Linked DNA regions of Callithrix jacchus. The protein of the gene in region 1 binds, or shares a complex with, the protein of each later gene. Links are inferred from orthologs where the notes say so. Each region holds a gene or a part of one and is shown in the gene's direction. Other genes may lie near its edges.

Evidence for each region.
Region 2: the proteins of SSTR5 (region 1) and CORT are in contact, whole or in part, in a cryo-EM structure (PDB 8X8L), measured with the Homo sapiens proteins. The link is inferred for Callithrix jacchus from reciprocal best matches to the Homo sapiens genes SSTR5 and CORT. Residues at the interface, in NP_001044.1 of Homo sapiens: Tyr89, Leu96, Gln99, Asn100, Ser103, Asp119, Gln123, Glu182, Thr185, Cys186, Asn187, Ala188, Trp190, Gly198, Phe201, Ile202, Thr205, Phe264, Phe265, Asn268, Asn271, Glu279, Ala283, Tyr286, Phe287, Val290, Tyr294; in NP_001293.3 of Homo sapiens: Cys93, Arg94, Phe96, Phe97, Trp98, Lys99, Thr100, Phe101, Ser102, Ser103.

What each region holds. Positions count from the first base shown.
Region 1 is NC_133513.1:3,321,327-3,336,744, forward strand, and holds SSTR5 (somatostatin receptor type 5), read left to right. Parts: upstream 1-5,442; 5' UTR 5,443-5,500; intron 5,501-10,841; 5' UTR 10,842-10,867; coding exon 10,868-11,941; 3' UTR 11,942-13,310; downstream 13,311-15,418.
Region 2 is NC_133508.1:48,333,689-48,349,236, forward strand, and holds CORT (cortistatin precursor), read left to right. Parts: upstream 1-6,173; 5' UTR 6,174-6,320; coding exon of another isoform or gene 6,321-6,326; 5' UTR 6,327-6,664; coding exon 6,665-6,763; intron 6,764-7,882; coding exon 7,883-8,101; 3' UTR 8,102-8,491; downstream 8,492-15,548. UniProt on the Homo sapiens protein: Binds to all human somatostatin receptor (SSTR) subtypes. It also inhibits cAMP production induced by forskolin through SSTRs.

The sequences.
Region 1 (15,418 bases):
CCAGCCGGGTCCCAGTGACACAGGCCTGCTGTCCCTGTGCCCGTGTGACTTTCTTCTCCTGTTGGGAGGCTGGTGACCCGCTGTGCTGCGCTGTGGGGGGCTGACCTCTGACCTCCCCTCCCAGTGCAGTGCGGTGCTGCCTGCCACGCCAGCCAGGGCCTGGAGGGGCACGTGCACCATGTTTACTGGGACCCTGCTGTGCACCAGATGAGGGGAGAAGTCAAGGCCCACCAGGCCTGTGGCCTCCAGTGAGCATCCGCAGGCTGCGGGGGGTGGCGGTCAGTGGAACAAGTGTGGGGCTGTCGGGCTTCCGGGAAGAAGGGTCACTTGAGCTGCCGGGGGAGCTATGCAGAAAGGGAGGTGGGGTGCACGGGGCGGGGGAGGCCAGGGCAAAGGCCGGGTGCTCAGAGGGTGACGGGGACAGCAGGGCCCTTCGGACGAGTGGAGGGAGGGCCCCCTCGGCCGCCAGGCACCACCCCTGGGGCCCGGCCCAGTCCAGAGACTAAGATGAGAGGCCTCCGGGGTGTTCCAGGTGAGCTGGAGTCAGCCTCTGTCCCTTCTGAATAATCACAGGGGAGCGTGAGCGCAGTGACCGAGCCTCCGCCTGCGGGTGGAGGGGCAGGGGCTTCTCGTCCAGGAGGTGCTGGCCTCAGCCTCCGGAGAGGGGTCTCACGGTTCGTGGTACAGGTCACAGCCAGGGGTGGGGTCCCTGGAGAGGGGTCCGAGGACAGTCCCTGCAGAGGTGTCCAGCCACCCTCCAGTTGCCATGGCTCCCGGCAGACACTAATCCCCACGGTACCGGGCTGGACCTCTGCAGCGTCCCAGGCGGGTGTCACCTTGTTTGATCCTCCTGGGCTGGGTGGACTGAGGCCAGGGGACTCCTGTCCAGAACTCAGGGTGGCTGACGGTGGGAGGAGCGGTGCAGGGCCGACAGGCCCCCTCTCTGGCCATCAGGCCCCCAGGAGGGCCCAGGTGCTCAGAGGTGGGAGTGTCCCAGTTTGATGCTGGGAGTGGGAGCGCCCCTCCACCCGCAGGGCTGAACTTCCACTGGGTGCTGGGCCCTGACTCACATTGGACCCTGCACCCCTGGGGCACCCAGCAATTCCAGAACAGTGGGAGCCCAGAGGCTTCTCAGGGAGCCCCAGAATATGAAGGATGGGGGCCCCCCAGCAGGAGCTGGAGGAACACAGCCAGGGGCGGTGGGAGGTGGAGAAACAGCTGGGGCTGAGGTGAGAACTTCGAGGGTTCCGGGGTGGGGGGCAGCAGATGGAGATGGGGAGGAGTTGGGGCCCCAGGGATCCTCAGAGGATCTGTCTTGGGAAGCTACTGGTGTGTGTGTGGTGGGGGTGCGGGAATTATCCCAGGCACTTCCAGAGAGGATGAAAAGGCTTATGTCCCAAGCTGGGCAGGAGGGAAAGGGACCTGCTTGGCTCTGGGGCTGGAGGTGACAAAGTTGGCAGACAGGGAGACTGAGGGCGTGGACAGTAGCAGCAGGTGCAGCAGCATGGGCCCTCCCAGGCATCAGGGCAGATGAAGCACTTGGCTCCCAGGGGGTGCCCCAAGGGACCCCGTGGGCATGGATGGCTCTGAGTGGGGCACAGGAGAGAAGCTGGTCCGGGCTCAGGGGCAGCAGCACAGAGAGCCCACGCAGGAGCTGGGCTCCAGGCCCCCTCCCGCCGTGTGTCAGTGTATGTGAAGTCACCGCTTCCTCACTGGGAGTCCTGAGACAGGACGGCAAGGGGCGTCATTTAGGAGGTGATCCGGGAAGGAGGTGAGTGGAAGGAAGTGCTGCCCCTTTCGGCTCCACTGTGGCCACCCCCTCGCTCCCCTCCCAGCCACCCTCTGTCAGGGCCTTTGCCCCCTGCTGTCTGAGTCTACTCTCTTGTCCCCTCCTCAGCGTGGACTGTTCCCTGCCCGCCCTTGGTGCCCTAGTCTCCCCCTTGCCACCTGCTCCTCCCCGCAGCTGTCTTCATGAGGGTCTGAGAGCGCCTCTGTGGAAATGCTGCGGGTTTGGTCCTTGCCTCTGCCACACTCTCACAGAGCTGGGCATCTGCACCTTTGAGTGTGGGCTTGGCAGCTGGAAATGCTCAGAAACCGTGTCTTCCCCCGCCCCCATCCCATGCGTGGACAGGGCTTGTCTGACCTGCTGGGGAATGATGCCACACTCAAGTGTCCAGGCAGGTGGCTTCTCTGCCCACAGGCCCAATGGGATGTGCAGCTGGGCCATAGCTGGCCTGTCCCCCAGAACCTCCCACCCGGTCCAGAAGGGCTCCTGCACCACCCCTGGGGACATCTGGACCTCAGCATGGACTGTGCCTGCCTCAGCATGGGTGCTGGGAGGTGAGGATGACTTGGTCAGCCAGCCTGCCAGCCACTGTTACCCCAGAGTCTCTGAGAAGAATGACACCCGCCACCTCCAGGGTGGCCTCCATCAGCAGGTGGGCCACCTGCAGCCCTCTGCAGGCAGTTAGAGACAGAATGCTTGTTCCCAGGTGTTGCAAGAAAAAATAAGCATTCAGACGAAAAGTTGTCTCAGCAAGGCAATTTTACTTTCTGCAGAAAGGGTGGTCTCGTTAGCCATCTTGCCTCGAGAGTACACAGAGGAAAGCCAGGCATATTTATTCCTTATGCATTGGGCCGTTACTGCTATGTCTGACCTCCCCTGGCTGGAGTCAGACCTCACAATCTAAACTAAAACCCGATGGGCTGACAACTTAAAACTTTTCCAAGTAGGTGAAGGCAATGGAGAACAAGGGGAGAGAGGAAGGACAAAGAAAGAAGGGGCAGAGGCCGCGAGCTGGGACACGCCTGTGAGCACGGCCAGCGCAGATATCCCGGTGAAAGCACAGGGACGTACCATGTACCTCTTCTATATCTAACAGCTACACAGGCTAAGGTTTAGCAGAGTTACGGGAGGGACAGCATGGGGAGAAATGCCAGACGTGGGTGAAGGGGAGGAAGGCAGCAAATCACACTGCCACGTGTGTACCTATGCAACTATCTTGCATATTCTGCACATGTACCCCAAAACCTAAAATGCAAAAAAAAAGAGTTACTAGCAAAAAGCAGGAATTTTCCAAACAACTTATCATTTCTAACATTTATTATTATTGTTTAACAAAAAGGGAAACTTTGAAGAGGAAGCTTTTTACCTCCTTTTTTTTTTTTTTTTTTGAGACTGAGTCTCACAGGCTGGAGTGCAGTGGTGCGATCTCAGCTCACTGCAGCCTCTGCCTCAGCCTCTCAAGTGGCTGGAATGACAGGCGCCCGTCACCACATGCTCAGTTAAGTTTTTTGTATTTTTTTAAGTAGAGTTGTGGTTTCACCATATTGGCCAGTTGGCCAGGCTGGTCTCAAACTCCTGACCTTGAGATACACCTGCCTCGGCCTCCCAAAGTGCTGGGATTACGGGCGTGAGCCACTGCGCCCGGCCCTAGGAACTTCTTACTTTCTACACAGGAGCCTCAAGCGCCTCGGCCTGCAGAGCCACTGGTGTGAGCTTCTCCAGGGATGCCACAGCCCAGGGGGTGGGTGCCCCTTCCCACCTCCATCTGACCCAGCTGTGTGTCTGGCCTCATGTTAGGGCTGGGGAGGTGTTACAGGTGGAGGAGCTGGCAGACACCTGCAAGACAGGGCCTGGGGGTGGGAGGGAGGCCAGATGACTTTCTGAGCCCATGGGTCCAAGCCTGTATAGGGAGGGAGCGTCGTGTGCCCCAGGGCCAGCTGCAGCCTCCCCAGAGACCCTCTGTGAACCCGGGCTCTCCCCATGGGGCTGGGTGCTGTGGTCCCGTGAACCCGGGCTCTCCCCGTGGGGCTGGGCGCTGTGGTCCCGTGAACCCGGGCTCTCCCCATGGGGCTCGTGCTGTGGTCCCGTGAACCTGGGCTCTCCCCTTGGGGCTGGGCGCTGTGGTCCCGTGAACCCATGCTCTCCCTTTGGGGCTGGGCGCTGTGGTCCCGTGAACCCGTGCTCTCCCCTTGGGGCTGGGCGCTGTGGTCCCGTGAACCCGGGCTCTCCCCTTGGGGCTGGGTGCTGTGGTCCCGTGAACCCGTGCTCTCCCCTTGGGGCTGGGTGCTGTGGTCCCGTGAACCCGGGCTCTCCCCTTGGGGCTGGGTGCTGTGGTCCCGTGAACCCGTGCTCTCCCCGTGGGGCTGGCGCTGTGGTCCCGTGAACCCGGGCTCTCCCCGTGGGGCTCGCGCTGTGGTCCTCCAAGCAGTATTGCTGGATGAGAAACAATCTGTGCTCCTGAAGAACATGTGGAAACGCTGAAAAGCTTAAAGGAGAGAACTCAGTCCTGGTACCCGGCCTCCCGAGGGAGCCGCTGGAGCTTTCAACAGAGCCGAGCCAGCATGAGCCTACCCATCTGTGGACAGACGGCACGTGGCTGCTCCCATGTCCCTTCGACGAGGGGCCCAGGGCCTTCAGGGTTCTGCTGTCACCTGGGGGCACCTCACTTCATTCAGCCAGTGACAGGGCTCCCTGAGTCTGGGCAGGGGCAGGGGCAGGGGAGGGGGTCGGGGGGCCTCCTGGTGGGGAAGTGTCCGGTGACCCCCAGGCTTCATGCCCAGCGGGTGCTCAGGGTGGACCCCACAGACTTGCCATCAGCACGCGGGATCTTGTCAGGAGTGCAGATTCCCAGGCTCTGTGACCTGCGGACTTGGGGACCCACCCGAGCGAGGCCTGGGAATCTGCGCGGAGGCCCCAGGTGACTTCAGAACCCCGCCTTAGGTGAGGGACTGAGGTGGACCCATGGATTTATTTCAGGGGAAATAGAAATAACCGCTCAGCAGGTACGTTTCGGCCGCATTTAAATTCGTGTAGGATCCGCAAAGAAGGCCTGGAAACCCCGAATGGAGCGTCCTGGAAATCCCGGACCACGACCATGTCACAGCGGGGCTGCCTGCGGTCCTCCCCGCACCCCTTCTCTCCACGACCACAGCCCACCTCCGGAGAGGCCTGCGGAGCCCCTGCCTCTCTCCCTTTAAACAAGGACCCCTCCACCCTCTTCAGACTTTGGAGGAGGGACCCGCACCCCAAGCTGGGGTCTGCTGCAGAGCGGACAGCAAGAAAATGGGGCGGGGGCGCAGGCGATCATGGGGTCACTGCCAGTGGGACCAGGAATGTGGGCAAGCGCGCAAGGGTTACGGGGAGCCTCGATGTGGGAGCCCCGACTTGGGAGCCCCGCAGATGAAGCGCCCCGGCCCGCCCCGCCCCCACCCGACACTGGCCCCGCCCCGCCCGCGCCCACCCGACACCGGCCCCGCCCCATCAGACACTGGCCCCGCCCCGCCCCGCCCCCACCCGACACCGGCCCCGCCCCATTAGACACTGGCCCCGCCCCTCCCCGCCCCCACCAGACACTGGCCCCGCCCTTCCCCGCCCCCACCAGACAGTGGCCCCGCCCTGCCCCGCCCACTCCCAGCCGGCGCCCGCCCCGAGAGCCCAGAGCCAGCTCCGAGCGCGGACGCCGGGGCTCTCCAGCCAGAGGGCGCCTCCACCCAGGTGAGTGCCGCCCGCCCCGTCCCCCTCCTGCGCGGGCGACCCCTGCCCTCGGCAGCACGGGGTCCCGCGCAGCTCTGATATCCCCGCTGGGGCGCCCACCTCGTGTGCGCAGCCCCGGCCCGGGGTCCCGCCCTGCGCCCCCGCCTGCTGCGCTCGCTGTCCCCCCACGCGCCCTCTGCACACCCGCGGGGCTCTCCTGCCGCCGCCGGGGGTCCCTCCGCTCCCAGACTCTCCATCCCTGCCATCTCCTGGCTGCGCCCCGCCGGGGCGGTGAGCTCCTGGAAGGCAGCAGGCAGAGAGGCCAGCACTGGAGTCCTGGGAGCTGGCACCCACAGATGGGTTCCCTGGGACCCAGCACTGGGAGGCTGGGGTGTCACCCCTGCCCGCCGGAACAGAGCCGCCTCCTGTACAAGGCACCGCGTGTGTCCGGACCCCTCCAGGCGTCTCCGCCCTCCCCAGAATAGAGAACACGCCCCTGGGGTGTGTGCCCTGGGCGCTCCTTCCGGACCCCAGGCCTGCCCACCTGCCCGCCCGCTCTCCCCGGCCTGCCAGCCTGCTGGGACCCCCTCGAGGTGAGAGGGGAGTTTGGGACGGTTCCAGCCGGGCTGAGCCCTTTCTGAAGGCAGCGATCCGGGGATGTGGGTGGGGACTGCCAGAGCCTGGGGGTGGAAACTGGTCAATAGTACCAAGGACAGGGGCCTAGCTTGGATTTCCAGGGCGAGACCGGGCGGGGCTTCCAGGAGGAGCCCTGGGAGTGGAGGGTGGCCTAGGAAGCATTCGCAGAGCGCAGAGGAGGGGTAGTGCCGGCCTGGCCCCCTGCTGCTGCTACTGCTTCAGGCTGGCCCCCACCTGCCTCAGTTTCCCCCTCTTGGGGAGGGCGTGTGCCCTGACCACAGGCTGCCTGACATAGGGACAGATGGCGTGTGTGTAGGGAACATGTATATGCAGCCCCTCCAAGCTGCAGCTGCGTCACTGCCCCTGTGAAGGACCCGGCTCCCCGACCTCGTGCTGGGCTAACCTGGAAGGGGTTGGCAGGGCACAGGTCTAGCCACGTGGTTCAAGCTACAATGACAGGAGTTTGGTTTTAGCTGCTTGGGAGGCTGAGACAGGAGGATCTCCTGAGCACAGGAGGTCGAGGCTGCAGTGAGCTCTGATCCCACCACCGCATTCTAGCCTGGGCAGCAGAGCGAGACCCCATCTCAAAAACAAAAAATCAGGCAATCAGGAACCGTGGGTGCTGTGCTTCTCTGGGGAGCCCCATGGCTTTCTGGATGCTGGGGAGAGGCTGGGCTGCTGAGGGCAGCTGTGGGGGCAATCGCTGAGCGCCCCGTGTATGCCGACACAGCACCCAGCGCCTTGCACACAGAAGCTCGCTCGGTTTCATCTGCTCTGGTTTGAAGGAGTGGCCTCTGCCAGCAGCTGGGCTCGGAGAAGCCTAGGACTGACCCAGGACCAGGAGGCCCGTGTGGGGTGGTGGGGCGGGGCCGGGATCTGCTCCCAGTGCCGTCAAGCTACCGCTGGCTGAGCAGGTCCCTTCCCGGTTGAGGGCTGGAGATCTGAAGTCCCCCGTGCTGACCGCCTCCAGTGAATCCCCCCACCCACAAGGCACAGGGCCATGGGGACAATTTCCCTGTGAGTGTGTAATTTTATGACTCAGAAGATGACTGCTTCCAAATAATGGCTCCTGCGGAATTATGTTCCAAGAGTTAGGTACAGCAGTAACGGCCTATTTTTGTTCTTGGCTGCTCTGAAGTCTACCTCTGGGGTTGGAGCCCTGGCGGCCGCAGAGCTGGGACCTGGGAACCCGTGGAGCCTCTCGCTGGGCTCTGGGCATGGGAGTGGCGGCAGAGGAGCCCTGAGTAGCTCCTCTGAAGCTCTGAAGCTACAAACACGGGAATTTGGTTTTAGCTGCTTGGGAGGCTGAGGCAGGAGGATCACCTGAGCACAGGAGGATCACCTGAGCACAGGAGGTGGAGGCTGCAGTGAGCTGTGATCGCATCACTGCACTCCAGCCTGGGCAACAGAGCGAGACCCCATCTCAAAAGCAAAAACTCAAGCACTCAGGAACCAGAGGTGCTGGGGACCCAGGGCCTGTTCTGGAGATGGACCGGAACCCCACAGTCTCCCTCTCCCTGCCCCACCATCCATGGCTCCTCCACCTGGCCTCCTTGGTACCGAGGAGTGGGCCGAAAGCGCCTCCCCAGGGAGGGCTGAAGCTCAGAGGCCTCAGCAGCCAGGACGCTGTCCCGTCCACCCGGACTCCCATGCAGCCCACGGGCTGTCTGCAGACCACAGTCCTTCCGGAATGCACGCCCCACAGGCAGCCGGGGGGAGCCGTAAATGATGCGTTGGATTTCTGTGCCGGCCCCTGGGGAGTGGAGAATCGCTGGTCCACTGCTGCCGTGGGAACTCACTTCCTGGAGGCCCCTGTCTGAGTCCTCCTAGGAGAGGCCTTGTTCCCTGCCAGGAGCAGATGCGGCTGGAGGCTCCAGCCCGACCCCAGCCCAGGAGCTCCTTAGGCAGCAGCTCCAGCAAAAACGGAAATGTCTCTTCCCTCCTGGCTGGGCAGCGCTCTACTGGGTAGGGGTTCTAGGGTGACAGCGCCCTCTCTCTCTGTCTGCCCCCACCCTTTTTCTCTCCCTCCCCACCCCCTGCTTCTGCTTCTCCCACCCCCAGGGTTTGTATGGAGGCCACTGCCGCAGCTGTCCAGGTCCTGCCCGGGTGTTTCCGTCCTGTCTCCCTGGCTGCCTCTCTTTGCCCCGGATGCCATAGCTTGATGGGGATGCTCTTTCATTCCTTTACGCCGCACAGGACAGGGGCTCCCAGACGGGACCCTGTCACCAGTTCTGGCGGAGCCCAGGCACGCTCTCCCCCTGGGACCCCACACAGCCCTCTCCTGACCTTCTGCTGGCGCCCTGTTCCCACCCATCCGTCAACCCTCTTCCAGTCACCGATTCTCTCTTCCGCGCTGTGCAGACTGGAGCTGGTTCTGACCACTTCTGTAGTTCTTTTCCCCCACAAATGATTGTATTTTTTTTACATCCAAGATGTGTGATTTTTAAAAATAGGTGCCTGTTCATTTTACTTCTTAGACAGAAGCCAAATTTATTCCCCAGCATTTTTCCGTGCCTTCTCTGTGGATCCTCCACGTGTTTAAACAATCTAAGCGTTCGTGAGCTGGTTATTTTTATTTCCCCTGAGATGAATCCACGGCTGCACGGCCCTGTTCATTTTGAGTTGTATTTCTCAGCGTGTTTGGGCCACGTGCACCTGGGAACGCTGGTTTCTGGGCTTGCTGGGGACACACGGCTTCCTCTTCGGGGCTGTCAGCCTTGTGTTCTGCACCCCCCCCCCGCCCCGGCTCTCCTTTCCTTGTCTACCAGATGTCAGTGGCCTCGGCCCAACCCCGCAGCCCCCTGCCAGGACTGTGGCCTTCCCTGGTAGCTGCTGGGGGCGTCCTGTGCTCTGAGGTGCCTCAGGGGTCACAGCTGGTCAGCTGAGCAGGCCCAGGGCTCCAGACAGCACATGCTGGGGTCACTACGGCCAGTTCCACCCCCACTCAGGCCAGGGTCCCCCCAGGGAGGGACCTGTCCCTGGTCTGGATCCTGAGGGGCGCTTTGATTCTCTGCTGGCCACCCCCAGAGTCACAGAGTCCCAGGGTCAACCCGAACGTCTGACCTTCCTCCACCCCACTTGTCAGGGGAGGCACTGGTCTTTTTATTTATTCATTTATTTTTGAGACGGAGTCTCACTCTGTTGCCCAGGCTGGACTGGACTGGCCTGATCTCAGCTCACCGCAACCTCCACCTCCTGGGTTCAAGCGATTCTCCTGCCTTAGCCTCCCAAGTCGCTGGGACTACAGGCACGCACCACACCCACCCAGCTAATTTTGCATTTTTTGTAGTGACGGGGTTTCACTATGTTGGCCAGGCTGGACTTGAACTCCTGACCTCAGGTGATCCTCCAGCCTTGGCCTCCCAGAGTGCTGGGATTACAGGTGTGAGCCACCGCATCTGGCCTGATGTTCTTTTTGAGACAGGGTCTTGCTCTGTGACCCAGCCTGGAGCACAGTGGTGCAGTCACAGCTCTCTGCAGCCTCGACCTCCTGGGCTCAAATGGTCCTCCCTACTCAGCCTCCTGAGTAGCTGGGACTACAGGCGCCCGCCACCACACCTGGCTAATATTTGTATTTTTTGTAGAGATGGGGTCTCACCATGTTGCCCAGGCTGGTCTCCAACTCCTGACCTCAGGTGATCCCCCCGTCTCAGCCTCCCACGGCACTGGGATGACAGGCGTGAGCCACCACGCCTGGCCAGAGAATCGTTTTTACAACTGATTTCAAACACACAGAAAAACACAGAAACAATATACGAGCCTTGAACCCACAGATGTTACTATTCTCAGCCCACCCTCCCCCATGTCTCCCCTTTTCTCTCTCTGGGCCATTGTGGGGGGTTCCAGGTCCTAGGAGGGGGCTCCGAGCTCCTATGGGACAGGCAGTGTCAGGCAGCTGGAGCCCCCACCCCTGTGCCTGTGACCTGCCGGTGCCCCACACTGCAGCTTCTCCCTCGGGCTGCAGGACAAGTAGCTGCCCACCCCACAGTTCCTCGTCCTTCGCCCTGTGCGACCCCTGGGCTCCACGTGGCTGCTCTGTGCGGTTTGTGTATTTGCTTCTCTGCAGCCGCCCCGTGGGGAGGGGCGGTGTCTGCCCAGCCCCTGTGCTGTGCCCCTGCCTGGGTTTGTAGATGTCTGTCATTGCCATGGGGGGAACAGGTCCCCGCAATGGTCTGGCGAGAGGTGCAGGGTCCAAGGGGCAGGTGCAGCCCGGCGAGAGTCCCTCGAGGCTGCGGCAGTGACACGCTGTCCAGCGGATTCTCCAGTCGTGCATCCTGGGCAGGGCGGGGGCCAACCACCGGCCTCATCTCTCTCCGCTGCCGCCTCTCCCTGTGCACCCTGGGAGGTGCTGCCCACCAGGTCTCCCCTTGGGAGACGCAGACAGCAGCACCGCAGGGCAGGCTCTGAGGGGCTCTGGGGAGATGCAGGTGCTGGCCTCATGATGCCACAGCCAGGCCAGGCACCACCGGGCAGCCGTCATGGTATTGACAGCGGCCGGCCGGCCTGGGCTCCCGGGGCCACCTGCCCGCCGCTCCTTCCTCTCCTGGCTTGTTTTCCAAACAATTTGCTTAATGTGATTCCTGGCCAAGCTGAACATGACTAATCGTGTTTACTCGGTGATCCCAGCCTCCCGGCAGGTGGGGCCTGACCGGGCAGGGAGGAGGAATACCTGGACGTGCCCACTCACAGCCTCACCGCCCCGGCGTCCTCCCCTCTTCTCTTGCAGAGCCGACGCGCCCTCGGGCTGCCGCAATGGAGCCCCTCTTCCCGGCGTCCGTGCCGGGCTGGAACGCCTCCTCCTCGGGTAACAGGTCCTTGGTGGGGCCGGCGCCGTCGCCGGGGGCCCGGGCGGTGCTGGTGCTTGTGCTGTACCTGCTGGTGTGCGCGGTCGGGCTGGGCGGAAACGCGCTGGTCATCTACGTGGTTCTGTGCTGCACCAGGACGAAGACGGTCACCAACATCTACATCCTCAACCTGGCGGTGGCCGACGTCCTCCTCATGCTGGGGCTGCCCTTCCTGGCCACGCAGAACGCCGCGTCCTTCTGGCCCTTCGGCCGCGTCCTGTGCCGGCTGGTCATGACGCTGGATGGCATCAACCAGTTCACCAGCGTCTTCTGCCTGACAGTCATGAGCGTGGACCGCTACCTGGCCGTGGTGCACCCGCTGAGCTCCGCCCGCTGGCGCCGCCCGCGCGTGGCCAAGATGGCCAGCGCCGCGGCCTGGGCCCTGTCGCTGTGCATGTCGCTGCCCGTCCTGGTCTTCGCGGACGTGCAGGACGGCGGCACCTGTAACGTGAGCTGGCCGGAGCCGGTGGCGCTGTGGAGTGCCGTGTTCGTGGTCTACGCGGCCGTGCTGGGCTTCTTCGGGCCGCTGCTGGTCATCTGCCTGTGCTACCTGCTCATCGTGGTGAAGGTGAGGACCGCGGGCTTGCGCGTGGGCTGCGCGCGGCGGCGCTCGGAGCGCAAGGTGACGCGCATGGTGGTGGTGCTGGTGCTGGTGTTCGTGGGCTGCTGGCTGCCCTTCTTCACGGTCAACATCGTCAACCTGGCGGTGGCGCTGCCCCAGGAGCCCGCCTCCACCGGCCTCTACTTCTTCGTGGTCGTCCTCTCCTACGCCAACAGCTGTGCCAACCCGGTCCTCTACGGCTTCCTCTCCGACAACTTCCGCCAGAGCTTCCGGAAGGTTCTGTGCCTCTGCCAGGGCTCCGGCGCCAAGGACGCTGACGCCACGGAGCCGCGGCCAGACAGGAGCCGGCAGCAGCAGGAGGCCACGCCGCCCACGCATGGCGCCGAGGTCAACGGGCTCATGCAGACCAGCCAGCTGTGAGGGGCGCCGAGGGCAGGGGACGGGCGGCCCCTGTCACCCCCAGGGGCAGGGGTTGCACTGCAGTGCCCCCGACCCCTCACCTGCCTGTCAGTCAGGATGCTTCCCGACGGCGGTGGGGCGAGGCTGGAACTGCCGAGGCCAGGCTGGGGTGGACACAGGGCAGAAGGCACCCCATAGTGACAGATCACCCTCTCCCGCCTGTTTACTGCGTGGGGGCTCCTGGGAGGTGGGAGAGGTACCCAGGCTGGTGAGGGGCTCTTGTAAGTCCTCAGGGCCCCCTCACCCTCCATCCTGCCCCAGCCCGTGCCAGCCTCCCTGCCGGGGAGCGACGTTTCCAAAAGGCCAGCCAGATGAGAGGGTCTTCCTGATGGCAGGGGCCTGCCCTGCCCGGCCCCCCAGCTGCATGTGCCTTGGGTCAGCTCTGAGCTACCTGCTGCTCTCATAAATTAAAGACACCTGAAAGGGCTTGATCAGGTCCCCTGGAGTCCCTGCCCAGGGCCCCAGCCCAGCCCTTCCCCACATTGTGTGGAATCTGGACACAGGTGTGAGGGAGTGTGACTGGGCAGCCCTCGGTCAGCCAGGGTCACGCCTGCCCTGGGGCCCCACCCTGCTGCCCGCCACCCTCCATGGGACGCTGTCCCAGAGAGGGAAGCAGGGGGCTCCCTGTGGGAGAGGTGTGGAGGCAGCTGGCGCAGAGGAGAGCCAGGGGCTGAGGTTGGGGTGGAGGCTCCTGCCCTCCTGGCTTCTGGGGCTCAGGCGTCTGTGCTACGCTGACTGGCTCTGTCTGGAGGGCCGGGAACGGGGTGTGCCTGGGGGCCCTGGAGGAAGGGCTCCTGATGGAGGAGGACCTGAGGGTCAGGGACTGGAAAGGATGGGGAACCTACGGCTGTCTCTTCTGCTTTGGGGCAGGGGCTCCGGGCCTGGGAGAGGGAACAAGAACAGCGGACAGTCATTCAGGCAGCAGTGGGGAGACAGCACTGCTGGGAGGCAGTGGTCGCATGGGTGATGGGAATGCCAGGTCCTGGGAATCCTGCTGAACCCCACCTAGAATTGTCCCACCTCTCCCACCCCAAACGCCAACTTCTCCTGGCACCCTGGACCCAGAGCCTTACTCTGAGGCTGGAAGGAGCAGGACCAGAGACCCCTCTGCCCTGCCCAGCACTGGCCCTGACCCATGCTCCCGTCGCTCAGAGCAGGTCCCCGTCCTCCCGGGAGGGTGCAAGGAGTGGGCTGAGTGGGTACAGAGCTAGGCAGGGGAAAGGCCCAGACCGAGGTCAGGCCTGGGAAACGTCCGAGCGATGAGGACACGTGTGTTTGACAATTGCTCCCCTGTATAAACTCAAGGATAAATGTTTGATTCTTTCCCCGAGCAAATATTGTCTCTGGAGCTGAGTGCAGCCAGCACAGACCAGAGTGAGTGGAGCCCAGGCTCCCCTGAGGCCCAACACAGGGCGAGACCCCCCACCCCAGCTCTGCTGAGCCAGACAGGGCCAGGAGGGGGGCGGCTGAATGCCCAGCAGGAAGCCGGGAAACGTGGAATTCATGGACAGGGTGAAAAATGACAGACACTGCCTGAGGTCTGAGGCTGGAGCTGCCTCTCACAGCCGCCCCTGAGCGGGCTGCCCAGGCTTCTCAATAGCTATAGGGGGAGTTAGGGGGCTTCTCCAGCGGGTCCACAAGGCTCTGCCTCTGAGTGACCAAGGAGGGGTGGATCCAGGGTGCCCTGGGGGAAACTGAGGTTCGTTCACACCACAGCACCCCCTCACCTGCCTCCCTGGGGATTTGGGTGACATGTTCATCTGCTTGGAAGGCTCTGGGGACCTAGCAGATGGCTCGGAAATCCCTGCTGAGATCAATTTCTCCAATTGATTTGACACTGCCCTCTCCCCGAGGGGCTGGCAGCCATGTGGGGCAAACAGAGGCGCCAGCGCCCTCGCTCTCTGGCCCCACCTCGAGCCCCACCCCATTTGGCCCAGCTGCAAGCCTCAGGTACCCTGCTCCCCGCCTCAAGCATCCTAAAGCCCCTGGGACCCCGGTTCCTGTCAGTCCCAGGCCCCAGCTTCACGGCCCCGCTGGCCTCCCCAGTCTGGTCCCAGCCACATGCAAACCCCGTCTGTGCCTTCGGTCAAAGCCTTGCCCCCGCCAGGCGCACACCCTCCCCACAAAGCAAACCTGCTGTGCCCGGCCTCCTCCTCCCGAGTACCCAGGACCCTCCCATGCTGACTCTCTGCAGGCAGTGGGCTGGCCATGGCGGCCCCACAGCTGGGCCTGGGACTTCCTGCCCTTGGGCCCTTGTGCTGGCTGAACACATGTCCTCGTTGGACAAACGCACCTGCCACACGCCAGCGTGGGGCTGGGTCGTGGGATCAAGATTGAGCTGGAGGAGCATTCCAGGCTGAAGGAACAGCCTCTGTGAGGGCTCAGAAGCAACAGGGCACAGGGGGTGAGCTGTGGGGGTCAAGTCAGAGAAAGGAGCAAATGCAGGTCCCCCCACGTTCTGACCCACGCTGCCCCAAGGAAGGTGAAGCCACACTCACTGCAGCTGGAGAGTGGAGACTGGACCGGAGGCGGGAGGAGGCAGATGCAGGGGGTGTGAGGAGGCTGTGAGGCGTCCAGGAGAACACGCAGTGGCCTGGCCCTGGGCGGGGCCCCAGGGGTGTTCACAAGGTAGAGGCAGCCCCTGGCTAGGCCTGGAGAAGGGGCAGTGGCACCCAGCTGGCTCCTGCTTGGGGCACATGGGAGAACAAGACCCCGGGGTCTGATGGCCTCGGTGGGCTGAGGAGGCTGAGGATGTTCCAGGACCACGCTGGGCAGGTGTGGATAGCAGAGCCACAGGGAAGGGGCCACGGGGAAGGGGTCAAGGCCCAGATACCCCCAGGGCAGCAGCATGATAGGCCTGGAGGGGTCAGGGGTGTGTGTGGGAGGAGCTCGGGCCCTGGACCCTGAATCCTCACCCCTCGGGGAAGTGAGGGTCTGTGGGTGTCCGGAACTTCTTCAGGGGCTGCAGAGCCAAGACCCCTTGCAGGCCACGTGAGAGTCTAGTGGGGGGCATGGTGGGAGCAAACATCCTGGGCGGGGTGGCTCCCATGGGTTTCCCGCACGCATCAGTGGGTTTTATTGGCTCTGGGCTCCAGCAACTCAAGTGACTTTGCTCAGGAAACAAGTCCCAGCCCCGCCCCATCAGCAGGGGTGCCCAGGCGGGATGTGGGGGTCTTCAGAGGGACCCGGAAGGCCTCCTGGGGAGAGAAGGGCACAGAGATGACCGGCAGCCATGGGGCCCCCACAAGCAGCCACCAGCCCAGGGCCCTCAGAATGCTGTTTCCTCCCACTGGACGAGACCCCAAAGCATGGGTGGGGTGGGGGTGTGGGGCCAGCTGTGGGGTCTCGGGGAGCCAGGCTGGGGGAAGGCTGCCCCTAGGACAGGCCCCTCTGCCCATCCAAGGCCAGGTCTTGGCAGCACGGAAAACCCCCATGGGT
Region 2 (15,548 bases), on another chromosome or scaffold:
AAAAAAGGTTAGGCATGCAAATGCATGCCTATAGTCCCAGCTAGCTACACAGGAGGCTGAGGCAGGGGATTGCTTGATCCCAGGGGTTCTAGGCTTTAGTGCGCTATGACTGTGCTACTGCACTGCAGCCTGGCGGACAGAACAAGATCCCAACGCTAAAACAAAATTTAAAACTCATCAAGAACAGTTTAGGGAACATACTACAGACTTTCCAAAGGTGGAAAGATGGGGGTTTTCATCTTGGGTTTCCAACTCCAGTAGCTATATGTTTCAGAGATGTTATGCTCTTTTTTATTTTAAATTGAGACAGGATCTCATTCTGTTGGCCAGCTGGAATGTAGTGGCATGATCATGGCTCACTGCAGCCTCAGTCTCCCAGGCTCAAGTGATCCTCCTGCCTCAGCCTCCTAAGTAGCTGGGACTGCAGGCATGCGCTACCATGCCCGGCTAATTTTTTAGGTTTTTTTATAGAGATGGGATCTCAGCATTTTTCCCAGGCTGGTTTCAAACTTCTGGGCTCGACTCAAGTGATCCTCCTGCCTCAATCTCCCAAAGTGCTGAGATTATAGGTGTGAGTCACTGCACCTGGCTTTTTTTTTCTTTTCTTTTTTGAGAAGGGCTCTTGCTCTGTCATGCAGTACCGTGGTATATCGCAGCTCACTGCGGCCATGAATTCCTGAACTCAAGCAATCCTCCTGCCTCAGCCTCCCAAGTGCCCGAGACTACAGATGTATATTACCACACATGGCTAAGTTTTCTTTTGTTTTTGAGACAAGGTCTCATCCTGTCACCCATGCGGGAGTGCAGTGGCTCAATCTTGACTCACTGCAGCCTCTACCTTCCATGCTCAGATGATCCTCCTACCTTAGCTCCCCAAGTAGCTGGGGCCACAGGTGTGTACCACCACCTCCAGCTAATTTTTTTTTTTTTTTTTTTGGTAGAGGTGGGTTTTGCCATGTTGCCCAGGCTGGTCTCGAACTCCTGGGCTTAAGGGATCCTCCTGCCTCAGCCTCCCAAAGTGCTGGGATTATAGGCATGAGTCACTGCACTGGCCTTTTTTGTTTTTGGAGATGTGCTCTTACTCTGTCACCCATACAGTGGCATGATCACAGCTCACTGCAGCCATGAATTCCTGGGCTCAAGCAGTCCTTCTGCCTCAGCCTCCCAAGAGCCCGAGACTACAAGTGTGTGTTGCTACACCTGGCTAGGTTTTCTTTTCTTTCTTTTTTTTCATAAGGTCTCACTCTGTCACCCATGCTGGACTGCAGTGGCGCTATCTTGGCTGACTGCAGCCTTGACCTCCCATGCTCCAGGATCCTCCTACCTTAGCCCACCCCGCCAAGTAGCTGGGACCACAGGTGTGCACCACCACGTCCAGCTAATTTTTGTAGAGATGAGGTTTGCCATGTTTCCCAGGCTGGTCTTGAACTCTTGGGCTCAAGTGATCCTCCTGCCTCAGCCTCCTAAGTAGCCAGGACTACAGGTGTGCATTGCCATGCCTGGCTAAATTAAAAAATTTTTTTTTAGAGATGGGGTCTTACTATGTTGTCCAGTCTGGTCTTGAACTCCTGGGCTTAGGTGATCCTCCCATCTCCACCTCCCAAAGTTTGCTACCTTTTTGAAACCGTCTTTTATTTTATTTTTATTTTTTTTAATTTTTTTGAGTCAGAGTTTTGCTCTTATTGCCCAGGCTAGAGTGCAATGCTGTGATCTCAGCTCACTGCAACCTCTGCCTCTCGGATTCAAGTGATTCTCTTGCCTCACCCTGCTGAGTAGCTGGGATTATAGGCTTGTGCTACCACGCCTGGCTAATTTTGGTTTTTTTCGTTTTGTTTTGTTTCTTGTGTTTTTTTTTGAGACAGAGTCTCACTCTGTTGCCAGGCTAGAGTGCAGTGGTGCAATCTTGATTCACTGCAACCTCTGCCTCCCTGGTTCAAGCGATTCTCCTGCCTCAGCCTCCTGAATAGCTGGGACTGCAGGTGCTTGCTAGCAAGCCCAGCTAATTTTTTTTTTTTTTAATATATAAAGATCAATTTCCTCTCTAGTTTTACCAATCAGAATATTAAAATGTGGCCGGGTGCGGTGGCTCACGCCTGTAATCCCAGCACTTTGGGAGGCCGAGGCGGGTGGATCATGAGGTCAACAGATCGAGACCATCCTGGTCAACATGGTGAAACCCCGTCTCTACTAAAAATACAAAAAATTAGCTGGGCATGGTGGCATGTGCCTGTAATCCCAGCTACTCAGGAGGCTGAGGCAGGAGAATTGCCTGAACCCAGGAGGCGGAGGTTGCAGTGAGCCGAGATCGCGCCATTGCACTCCAGCCTGGGTAACAAGAGCTAAACTCCGTCTCAAAAAATAAAATAAAATAAAATAAAATGCTACCTCATTGTTTTAGATGAAATTTCCCATTTAAATATATGACACATAAGCCAAAATTTAGAAATAGCTCCTGGCATCACTGTAGTTTTGGGCCTTTAAAAAAAGTAAAGGCTTAATTTTAAGTTTGAATATAATGTGCAGCTTATATAACATATATATATATATTTTTTACATACATATAATTATATTTTATATATTATATTTTCCTTATCATGAACTTTATTATGCTTCTGAAATTTCTCCAATCATTTCAAATTTACTTCGATAAAAATTTTTCTATATTTTGTCCATTGCCTTTTGAAATCAGAATGTTACAAATTTCCATCTATAATAAAATAAAATATTCAAGCTTTATTAATAATCCTAATTTAAAAAGGATGCAATTAAGAGCTGACATAGCTAACAGAAATGTAAGAAAGGTATACTTTTCTTGAATAAAAAAATAGGAAATACTTTAATGAAAAAAAATCAAGGACTGAAGGAAGGAGAAAATTTTCTAGACAGTAGCTGGTCCTTCACAATTTGTGTTATTGTGCAAATACATCATTAAATAAATACTCATCTGATATTTACAAAATAGACGTAAGAGAAGAACCTAAAGTATCAGGATCTTTCACTTGCTATCCCTCTTTCACTCTTCTGTATACATTAGTTTACATACCAACTAAACATGTGATACTAGTTAACTATAGTTGAAAGCCTATCAATTAAGTCATCAGTAGTGTAAACAGAAGTTGAATGTCTCCTTTTTCCTTCATTCGGTGATCACTATGTTTTCGGAGGATGACATCCGCATCTGTGCTGAGTACTCGGTGGATGCCAAGGTACAACATCATCCATGCCATGGAGCAATCCTACAGGGCAGCTCACAGGTATTGGGCTGTGTAACGAGCAGTGGTGTTCAGTTTCTTTTTTTTTTTGAGATGGAGTTTCGCTCTTGTTACCCAGGCTGGAGTGCAAGGGTGCAATCTCGGCTCACCGCAACCTCCGCTCCCTGGGTTCAGGCAGTTCTCCTGCCTCAGCCTCCTGAGTAGCTGGGATTACAGGCACCCGCCACCATGCCCAGCTAATTTTTTGTATTTTTAGTAGAGACGGGGTTTCACCATGTTGAGCAGGATGGTCTCGATCTCTTGACCTCGTGATCCACCCGCCTCAGCCTCCCAAAGTGCTGGGATTACAGGCTTGAGCCACCGCACCCAGCCAGTGTTCAGTTTCTTTAATGAAACTGTACTGAATGTGATAAACTCCATCTTCATGGTATTTTGATGGCATGCTCCACACACCTTTTTTTGCCTCAACAGGAAGCTGATTAAACTGTGTCACTAAGCCATCTGCAGCTGTAGATACACCAATAAGAGCCATAACCTTTTCTGGTCGTGCAATTGCAGCATGAAGCTTAAGCCACCACCTGAGGCTAGATCCAGCATGAATCTGTGGCCCTTCAGCTAAGTCATCAATTATAGAAAGATCATCTTTCCTCCATTTCCCCAGTGTGCTTGCCTCCAGGTTACTGTCTGAACTTCTAACTCCTGAGTAATCAAACCTTATGTAGGTGTGACTTAGAGATTCGCAAAACTCAATCGCCAATGCTTTTGTACCATTCATATTAGAAATATAGCCAGGGATGAAGATAAAATTCCTGGACTTTTGCCTTTTAGCCTCTTAAAAGCCAGGTTTGGAGGGTCTGGTCAATTAAGGAAAGAGAATGATGTCTTTTGTCTGCAAGCTGGGGGCCACCATGGCACCCACTGAGGCTTTGGTGCAAACAGCATGTTGAGGCCCTGGTAGGGAACGAAGGGGACAGCTGCCCAGCTCCAGCTCCGACAAGGTACACAGTGACTATGCATGCAACCGCCATCTTCCCAGCTGTCCAATTTTTTATTTTTAATAGAGATGGGGTTTCACCATGTTGGCCAGGATGGTCTCGATCTCTGTGGAGGTTGCAGTGAGCCAAAGTTATGCCACTGCAGGCCAGTCTGGGTGACAGAGCAAGACTCATCTCAAAAACAAAAGCTGGCTGAGCTGCTGTGACTGTCTTATCTATAAGAGTAACTCAAAATTTTAGTGTCATTTCTGGGAATTATTTTGGTACAGAAATAAAAGATGAAGCAGGCTGGACGCAATGGCTCAAGCCTGTAATCCCAGCACTTTGGGAAGCCGAGGCGGGTGGATCATGAGGTCGAGAGGTCAAGACCATCCTGGTCAACATGGTGAAACCCCCGTCTCTACTAAAAATACAAAAATTAGCTGGGCATGGTGGCATGTGTCTGTAATTCCAGCTACTCAGGAGGCTGAAGCAGAAGAATCGCCTGAACCCAGGAGGTGGAGGTTGCGGTGAGCCGAGATCACGCCATTGCACTCCAGCCTGGGCAACAAGAGCAAAACTCCGTCTCAAAAAAAAAAAAAGATGAAGCAACATACGATGTATAAGCCTCTGGCCAGTAGGCCATGCTGATCTTACCTAGGATTTTAACATAAACAAAAAAACTGTGACAAATTAAATCCACAATTGAGATTTTCCTTGTGAAGGTGTAAACCAGAACTTGGGAAAACTGAAAACAAGTATGTTCCCTTCTAGAAAGCGCTGTCAGTTTTGGGGTGCGTTCCTTCACTTTAGAGCCTTACCTTGGACACTGGTCATCGGTAGTAGGCTTGAGCAGATGTTTTGGATTTTACTCACTGTCTGGTTGGGTGAAGGGGTCTGTGCATTTGTCTGTGTGGTTCAGCAATGAGGGCCTGTGAGGAAGAGCCAGTGGATGGCACAGAGAGGGGCTCTGGGCTCAGGAAGAGAGCGAGCCCTGGGAGCTGGCTGAGGGCAGGGTTGGGTACTGCTTCCCAGACTGACTGCCCTGTGGTACCAGTACATCTCACACGAGACCCACACACAACGTGAAACATTATTTATCCTTATTCGGGGTGAGGCACACTAATTTAAATTTCATTTGAAAGAAAAGTACTGACCAATGACCCATGAGTGGGTGGTCAGGAGCATGATCACGTCTGTCATCCCAGCACTTTGGGAGGCTGAGGCGGGTGGATCACTTGAGGTCGGGAGTTCAAGACCGGCCTGGCAAGCACAGAGGAACCCTGTCTCTACTAAGAATACAAAATTAGCCGGGCATGGTGGCATATGCCTGTAATCCCAGCTACTCTGGAGGCTGAGGCAGGAGAATCGCTTGAACCTGGGAGTTGGAGGTTGTGGTGAGCTGAGATTGAGTCATTGCATTCCAGCCTGGGCAACAAGAGCGAAACTCTCTCAAAAGAAAAAAAAAACACGGGACCATCAGGAGTTTGAGACCAGCATGGCCAACATGATGGAACCCCATCTCTACTAAAAATACAAAATTTTAGCTGGGCATGATGGCACACATCCATAATGCCAGCTATTCGGGAGGCTGAGGCAGGAGAATCGCTTTAACCCAGGAGGCGGAGGTTGCAGTGAGCCGAGATCACGCCATTACACTCCAGCCTGGGCAACAGACTTTGTTTCAAAAAACCACCACCAACAAAAACTGGACCAGGGCTGCTCCAGGGCCAGCAGTGCCTGGGTGCTGCTTGTTGAAAATGCAGCTCTCAGCTCCTCTGTGCCCCAGCACATCAAGACCTGCCTGCAAAATGGTCTGTCTTCACTTCAGGTTGAGAAGGCCTGGCCTAGAGGATGGTGGGTCTGGCCTGCTGGGTTGAGAGGCAGCACTGGGAGCAATTCCTGGGGTCTTGCCGACAATTTGGTGAAACTAGTGGATTTGATCAGAGCATCTCTGAGCCCCCATTGCCTCCTTGTTTCTTTGCCCGTAGTAGAATTTCTCTGAAATTACTGGATGAGTTTCAGTCATACTTTCACATGTGCACAATTTCACATTCAAGCTCCTTATCCAAGGCTAATTTTATATTATGTTAAATCACTTGTTTTTGTTCTCACGGCTTCCTGCCTGCTATAGGCATAATTACGAGGAAGTGGAACTTCAGCAGCGAGCACACATGCGTTCCAAAATAAGAGCAAATGCGCTGTAAACACAGGAAAAGACCTGAAGCTTTAATTAAGGAGTTAAATCCAATCCCAAAGCGCTTTTCTGGGCACTGATTGCTCCAGCTTCTGCGTCACCACGTGAGGGAAGAGGATCCAGGCATTAGACATGTATAGACACAAAAAACAGCTGGAGATTCAGCTTAAAATACCCACCAAGCTCCAAAGAAGAGACCCAAGTCCCCAGAACATTGATTCAGGGCTGCCAGGAGGAAGAGCAGCAGCAGGGTGGGAGAGAAGCTCCAGTCAGCCCCCAAGATGCTGCTGCCCCCTGGCCTCTTGCTGCTGCTGCTCTCTGGGGCCACGGCCACTGCGGCCCTGCCCCTGGATGGCGGCCCCATCAGCCCAGACAGTGAGGTGAGTACAGACGCAACGTGGCCACACGCTTGCCCACTCTCTTGTTGGGTTTTTGGCCTGCATGGTGAGTGTGTGTGTGTGTGTGTGTGCGCATGCGCGTGTGCGTGTGTTGGATTTCACAGCTCGGACAAGACACAGGGCTGAACTTCGTAGTGTTCTTGGCTGGCCCGAGGTACTGGGATGTCCCATTCAGACTGCTGATCTACATATACCTGTCTCAACCCATGAAGCATGTTGGAAGGCCGCGCAGCTCAAGGAGAGCCCTTCATGTCAGTGCCTCTCTCCGCTGGGCATCTGGGAAGGGTGAAATGAGTGTGCCAGTCCACTGAGGGCAGGCATAGAGCTGCCATAGCCCTTGTGAGTCACCCAGACTTCCAGAGCCTTCAGATTCTACACAGCACAGGCTCCCACTGGCTCAGAGTAATTGGCATCATTACATTTCTGTTGTGAGGTTTTATAACTTCATGAGGTGATTGATTGCTCTTTTTTCCGTTCTGAAAAAGTTCCAAGAAAGAGTATATAAAGTTGACCATTAAAAATGGATTTTTCTCCAAAATTACCAGATGAGTTTCAGACAGGTCATTTACCACCAGATTATTCCCAAAGCTTTCTAAGGAACTTGAAAAACCAGAATATAATGTTTCAGTCCCATCTGTCTCAGAAGGCGACTTGCAGACATCCAGGAGTGTGGCCAGAGGTGGGGAATGAGTACATTAGCCTGCTCCACCTCGGGGCTTCTTAGCTGCCAGTCACTTCGGGGAGAATGGCAGGTTTCCTGACCACTTCTAATTAAGGACCTCAGCAGAGAGTATGGGGCAAAACCACCAGGTTTTTTTCCTTGACTTAAAATGACCAACTTACTTTTCCTTTTCTCTAATTAGAGCAATTTCTTTAAGGTATTCTCTTCACTTTCTCATCTTCATCCTTTAAATGGAAATGTGGCTTATTGCTATGGAGCATCTTTTCTTTTTTTTTTTTTGAATTTATTTATTTTTAATACTTTTCTCCAAGGTATTCTAGGTCTTTTTTTTAAGTAAGGAGGAGATTGCCTATCTTTGCTTGCTGCCTGAGCCAGATCGCTGAGTTTTCTTTCCTTTGCCATCTGCTTCTTTTTAAAAGCATATGCAGGAAGCGACAGAAATAAAGAAAAGCAGCCTCCTGACGTTCCTCGCTTGGTGGATTGAGTGGACCTCCCAGGCCAGCTCTGGGCCACTCACAGGAGAGGAAGCCAGGGAGGCAGCCAAGCGGCGGGAAGGTGCGCCCCTTCAGCCGTCCACGCGCCGCAACAGGATGCCCTGCAAGAATTTCTTCTGGAAGACCTTCTCCTCCTGCAAATAAAACCCCACCCGTGATTACTCATGCAGGTGTAATGACGGACCAAAATAAAATGTATTAAGCAGCAGTGATCTTTCCTCTTCTTCCCATTTGAAAAGTATTTTTTATTTGAATTCCAATAATGCCCAATACTGACGTGTTTTGAGTAATTTGGAACCCAAAGTGAACATCTTTGAGAAAGATTTTTTTTGTGGTTTTGCTCGACTGTGCTCAGTGCAGCCACTGGGTTTTCCTTTTGACATTCGTTAAGGTGCTGGGAAGCTCTGTCTTTGATTTAAAATAAAATAGCCAAAGACTACATAATTAAAAGTTCAGAATAACATTTCAGTTTATGAATTGATATGAATTGTCTCAATTTAAAAAATATTTCTCTCACATTAAAAGCAAATTTTTTTTTTTTTTTTTTTTGTCTTTTTAGTAGAGACGGGGTTTCACCAAGTTGACCAGGATGGTCTCGATCTCTTGACCTCGTAATCCACCCGCCTCGGCCTCCCAAAGTGCTGGGATTACAGGCTTGAGCCACGCGTCCGGCCCAAAAGCAAATTTTTAACATCAGGCTTGAAGAGCAAAATGATTATTCCTCATGCTGTAGCTGAAATTAATTTTAAAACAAATATTAAACAGAAAATATGCTGACATGCCTGGAAAGTTGTACTTGAATTTGCTGTTATGTACCATTTTAATTAGTAGCTTAATGGATTGCAGTTCTTTTCATGGATTATAGCTTCACATTTGCTTTGGGAGGAACGAAGTCTGTACAGAAATGTTCTTTCAAACCAGATGCGGTGGCAGTGAGCCCTGCTGGCGCTCAGCTGTCGCCTGCTTGCAGTGGCTTCTAGTACCAGGACCTGTCCCAGGTCTCAGTATCTGGATTTTGTACAGTGACAGTCATATGAATTACATGTATAATTGTCACATTCGTGTCCCTATTCCTCAGTGTTCCCAGTGAATAATGGCAAAACGGGACAATTCCATTTCTGTGATGTAGCGTAGAGTAGCCATTGAGCCCCCACATGGACCAAGCTCTGGGTCTGCTCAATGAAATTAGGGGTAAAGAAATCATGCAATTCTAAAAGCTTTCTTACGTTTCAGTTCTCTCCACAGCACCAAAATCCTTGCTTAATGACACATACTGTTTATGACTCAAATCACAGATTCTAAAGGAGACTTCCTGCATGAAGGTTTTTCTTTATTTTTTTGAGACAGAGTTTCGTTCTTGTTTACCAAGGCTGGAGTGCAATGGCGCAATCTCGGCTCACCACAACCTCTGCCTCCTGGGTTCAGGCAATTCTGCCTCAGCCTACTGAGTAGCTGGGATTACAGGCACGTGCCACCATTACCAGCTAATTTTTTTTTTTTGTATTTTTAGTAGAGACAGGGTTTCACCATGTTGACCAGGATGGTCTTGATCTCTTGACCTCGTGATCCACCCGCCTCGGCCTCCCAAAGTGCTGGGATTACAGGCTTGAGTCACCGCGCCCAGCCTCTTTTTTTTTTTTTTTGAGATGGAGTCTCCCTCTGTCACCCAGGCTGGAGTGCATCACTGCAACATCTGCCTCCCAGATCCATGTGATTGTCTTGCCTCAGCCTCCCGAGTAGCTGGGACTACAGGCACGTGCCACCATGCCCAGCTAATTTTTGTATTTTTTAGTAGAGACGGGGTTTCACCATGTTGGCCAGGATGGTCTCAATCTCTTGACCTTGTGATCCGCCCACCTCAGCCTCCCAAAGTGCTGGGATTACAGGCGTGAGCCACCGTGCCTGGCCTTTTTTTTTTTTAGATGGAGTTTTGCCTTTGTTGCTCAGACTGGAGTCCAATGCTGCTGTCTCTGCTCACTGCAACCTCCGCATCCCAGGTTCAAGTGACTCTCCTGCCTCAGCCTCCCAAATGGCTAGGACTACAGGCATGCACCACCACACCCCGCTTTTGTATTTTTAGTAGAGACATAAAGACGGGGTTTTACCATGTTGGCCAGGCTGGTCTTGAACTCCTGACATCAGGTGATCCACCTGCCCCAGCCTCCAAAAATGCTGAGATTATAGGCGTGAGCCACTGCACCTGGCCAATTTTTCTAGTTTTAATAGAGACCTGGTTTCGCTATATTGGCTAGGCTGGTCTTGAACTCTTGACCTCAATTGATCCACCTGCCTCAGCCTCCCAAAGTGCTGGGATTAGAGGCGACAGCCACTGCACCTGGCCATGAAGGTTTTTAGATGCTAAACTTGATTGGGAAAACCAGCAAACGCTGACTGGAGGATATGGGAATATTCTCTGGACACCAGGGGAGCAGACTCCCTGAGAATGACTGCTGACCATTCCGTTCTGTTTTCTGCAGAGCTGACCTCATATTCATAATTACTAGCTGAATAAAGTATGATGTGATGGAAGAGACTCAATAGTATCCACATTTCCAAGCACAGCAGCTTTAGGAGACCAGTAACTGGGTCAGTGCACTGGTGGAAGAAGTCTGCCTGGAAGGCCAGCTAACCTTCAGAACTTTGTCTTTTAAGATTTTTCAGCCGGGCACAATGGCTCACGCCTATAATCCCAGCACTTTGGGAGGATGAGACAGATGGATAACCTGAGGTCAGGAGTTCAAGACCAGCCTGACCAATATGATGAAACCCTGTCTCTACTAAAAATACAAAAATTAGCTGGGTGTGGTGGCATGCGCCTGTAATGCCAGCTACTTGGGAGGCTGACACAGAACCGCTTGAACCTGGGAAGCTGACGTTGCAGTGAGCCAGCCATTGCCATTGTACTCCAGCCTGGGCAACAAGAGAGAAACTGTCTGAAAAAAAATTTTTTTTTTCTAGAAGAAAGCCACACTCATTGTTTTTCAGTTTTTAAATTGGTGTCAGCCAAGTGTGGTGGTCATGCCTGTAGTCCTAGCACTGTGGGAGGCCAAAGCAGGCAGATCAATTGAGGCCAGGAGTTCAAGACCAGCCTGGCCAACATGATGAAACCCTGTCTCTACTAAAAATACAAAAATTAGCCAGGCATGGTGGTGCATGCCTGAAATTCCAGCTACTTCGGAGGCTGAGGCAGGAGAATCACTTGAGCCTGGGAGGTGGAGGTTGCAGTGAGCCGAAATCATGCCACTGCACTCCAGCCTGGGTGACAGAGTGAGACTCTGTCTCAAAAAATAATAAATAAAAAACGGACCAGGTGCAGTGGCTCATGCCTGTAATCCCAGCACTTTGGGAGGCTGAGGTGGGTGAATCACGAGGTCAGGAGTTTGAGACCAGACTGCCCAATATGGTGTAATCCCATCTCTACTAAAAGTACAAAAATTAGCTGGGCGTGGTGGTGGACACCTGTAGTCCAAGCTACTCAGGAGACTGAGGTAGGAGAATTGCTTGAACCTGGGAGGCAGAGGTTGCGGTGAGCCAAGATCACATCACTGCACTGCAGCCTATGCGACAGAACAAAACTGTCAAAAACAAAACAAAACTGCAAGGTGTAGCCAGGTGCGGTGGCTCAAGCCTATAATGGCAGCAATCTGGGAGGCTGAGGCGGGTGGATCACCTGAGGTCAGGAGTTCGAAACCAGCTGGCCAATATGGTGAAACCCTGTCTCTACTGAAAACACAAAAAATGAGCCAGGCTTGGTGGCGCACACCTTGTGTGCACACCAAGTAGCCCCCAGCTACTTGGGAGGCTGAGGCAGGAGAACTGCTTAAATGTGGGAGATGGAGGTTGCAGTGAGCTGAGATTGTGCCACTGCACTCCAGCCTGGGCAACAAGAGTGAAACTCCATCTGAAAAACAAACAAAAAACCCGCAAGATGTAGAAGATGCAGCCAAAATGATTTAAGACAAAACTCCACAAACAAAATGGACAAAAACCCTGAAGCTGAAAAAAAAAAAGCTTGAACAGGTAATTAGGAAATTAAACAGCTAAATAATCTGGTTATTAAAGGCACTTAGTTATTCTTATAATTGATACAGGTTTTTTTCTTTTTCTTTACGGACTTCTTTTATTCCTAGCTCTCTGGAAAATGAAAAATCCATTAGTTTTTTTCTTTTGCTTTTACCCAGAAATTAAAGGTTGGTAAGTAGTAATTAGCACAGCTCCTGTCAAAGCCAATTGCCTAACGAGGACCGACATTTGACTTAAGTTGAAAGAATGGAAGAAGGCTAATGTGGAGTTCATTAGTTCCAGCTGCTTTCTCTGACAGTCTTTTCCCCTACCGTGAGAGCAGGCATGCCCTGCTCTCGCTCACTCCTGTTTTTAGAGGTATGGCTCTGCTCCTCTGGTTCTGTTCTGTAAGGCTGGAGGCACAGTGGTTATAGGGAAGGTAAGTGGTACTGGGGCACTACGTTTGTGACCACATTCATTACACATCTGGGCTACAGTTTGCAGACTAAGGTCTTTGCCCTACTGACTCTTTGATAGAGGACTCCTGCACCCCAGCTGTCTGCCCCTGGGAAATGAAAGAGAACCACTCTCCACTGTCTACTATATGGTAAGTACTATGATCTTTCTCATTACAGTACTTCATTCCTTTTTTGGGGGGACTGGATTATTTATTTTGAGACAGGGCCTCACTCTGCCACCCAGGGTGGAGTACAGTGGCACGATCATAGCTCATTGCAGCCTCGAACTCCTGGGCTCAAGTGATCCTTCTGCCTTAGCTGCCTGAGTATCTAGGATTGCAGGCGAGTGCTACACCCGGCTAATTTTTATTTTTTAAATTTTTGTAGAGATGGGGCCTTGTTATGTTCCCCAGTTTGGTTGGTTCATTTAGGCTGGGCGTGGTGACTCACCACCTGTAATCCCAGCACGTTGGGAGCCCATGGCAGGTGGATCACCTGAGGTGAGAAGTTTGAGACCAGCCCGGCCAACATGGTGAAACCATGTCTACTTAAAATACATTAAAAAAAAAAAAAATTAGCTGGGCGTGGTGGCGGCCACCTGTAATCACAGCTACTCTGGAGGCTGAGGCAAGAAAATCACTTGAACCTGGAAGATGGAGGTTGCAGTGAGCCGAGATTGTGCTACTGCACTCCAGCCTGGGGAAGAGCAAGATCTCAAACAACAAAACAAAACATATACTTAATTTAACCCTTTCAAGCTTGGGGCTTTAGAGTAACTAAGAGGTTTGACTCAATACGGTTTGTCTCAGTCCCAAAGCCACAGTACTTTTTTCATTATCCTGTCCAGTTCAGCCTCTTGGTGGGTTCAAGTATAGAATACCAATACCAACAGCCAGATGAGTCAACAAAAGCTCTGTGTGTTTCACAGAAATAAGGAAAATATTTTGGCTGGGTGTGGTGGCTCATGCCTGTAATCCCAAAACTCTGGGAAGCTGATGTGGGAGGATTGCTTGAGGCCAGCCTGGGTAACATGGTGAGTTTTAATGTCCCCTAGATTTCCTAGGAATGTAGGTACTTGTAAATCCAGGACAGATACGTTTACTCTTGTGGGAAATCCCATTACTGAGGGCAATGCTGCTGGTGGCATTGGAGCTGACAATCACTATGCCCATGTGCCAGCTAGCCTGCCAGATGCATGGCGATTCCATCAGTGCAAACATCTGACAGTCACTTTATTGGAAATTATTTTCCTTTAAATAGTACATTCCTGAAATAGTACATTTGGGGCATTATATTGATGCTGCTGTAAGGATGAGTGTAGGTAGATTATCAGTGATGGCTTCTTAGTAAGGGATATTTTATGTATTTTTAGTAGAGATAGGGTTTCACCAGGTTGGCCAGGCTGGTCTCAAACTCCTGACCTCAGATGATCCACGAATCTCAGCCTCCCAAAGTGCTGGGATTACAGGCATGAACCACTGCACCTGGACTATTGTGATTTTTTTTTTTTTTTTTGAGACGGAGTTTCGCTGTTGTTACCCAGACTGGAGTGCAATGGCATGATCTCAGCTCACCACAACCTCCACCTTCTGGGTTCAAGCAATTCTCCTGCCTCAGCCTCCCAAGTAGCTGGGACTACAGGCGCGCACCACCATGCCCAGCTAATTTTTGTATTTTTAGTAGAGACGGGGTTTCACCTTGTTGACCAGGATGGTCTCGATCTCTTAACCTTGTGATCCACCCGCCTCAGCCTCCCGAAGTGCTGGGATTATAGGGTGAGCCACTGTGCCCGGCCGATATTTCTTTACTTAATAACTAGCCAATAAATCTCTTAATAGTATTCTGTTTTGCTCTAAGCATGCATAAAAAATGGCCGGGTAAGTCCGTGATAACTCATCACCTTTTCCCTGCAAAGAGAGTGTACTGCAGATTAGCAAACCTGCAGAACCAGTCTGTACAGAGACAAGAAGAAGACAAGCCAGGCCTCCTCTGCTTCATACCGAGACTTGCAGTCACAGCACATGGAAATTGCTTTAATGACCTTTTATACCCCCTGCTGATAAAACAATTAGAAAACTTAAAAGAGTTTCACAGTGGTGAGATATAATTTCACAATACTGAATTAGATATTAGAAATGGACTCTACGTATGTCCCTGTGGTCTACAAGCTTAATATGTATCTTTATTTATTTTTTTAACAGCACTTTCCAGGCAAATATATAATCTTTAAACAAACAAATAGAAAAATTCGTTAACTGCAGAAACAAGTTTGTGGCCATAATCAACACTCTATAATGTCACTGTCTCCACCATTATCTGTGCTTAAAATTCTGCAGTACTATCTTCAGAATAAGGATGAGTCTCAAGTATGACCATTTCTTTTCAATACCCTTGACAATTACCTTTTTTTTTTTTTAAAGTAGGGTGTTACTCTTATCATCCAGGCTGGGGTGCGGTGGCATGATCAGAGCTCACTGCAGTCTTGAACTCCTGGGCTCAAGCGATCCTCTCACCTCAGCCTCCTGAGTAGCTAGGACTATAGGTCAGTGCCACTATGTCTGGCTAACTTAAAAAAAATTTTTTTTATAGAGACAGGGTCTTACGGCTGGGCACAGTGGCTCATACCTGTAATTCCAGCTACTTAGGAAGGTGAGGCAGGAGCATCGCTTGACCCCAGAGATGGAGGTTCAAACTAATTTTTATATTTTTAGTAGAGATGGGGTTTCACCATGTTGGCCAGGTTGGTCTTAATCTCCTGATCTCAGGTGATCCGCTTGCCTCGGCCTCCCAAAGTTCTGGGATTATAGGTGTGAGCCACTGCCCTGGCCTTTCCTTTTTTTTTAACTGATCACATCAAAGATTTCAGTGCTAAACAAACCTTTTTCTTTTTTAAAATTGTTTCATGTGGAGCTAAATGTTAGGCAGTGCACCCAGAGTCACCACCAATTACTTTTAAACAGAGAACATAAGAATATGTAGAGGAGGTGGGATATTGTTGGTGCAGCTATATCATTCGAAATTGGCAGAAGTCCTGAAGCTGGTAGGGCTGAAATTAAAAAAAAAAAAGACAGAATTGGTGGAAGGCGTATGTTGAGACCTGGAATAGCTTCTCTGGAACACACTCTAAGGCA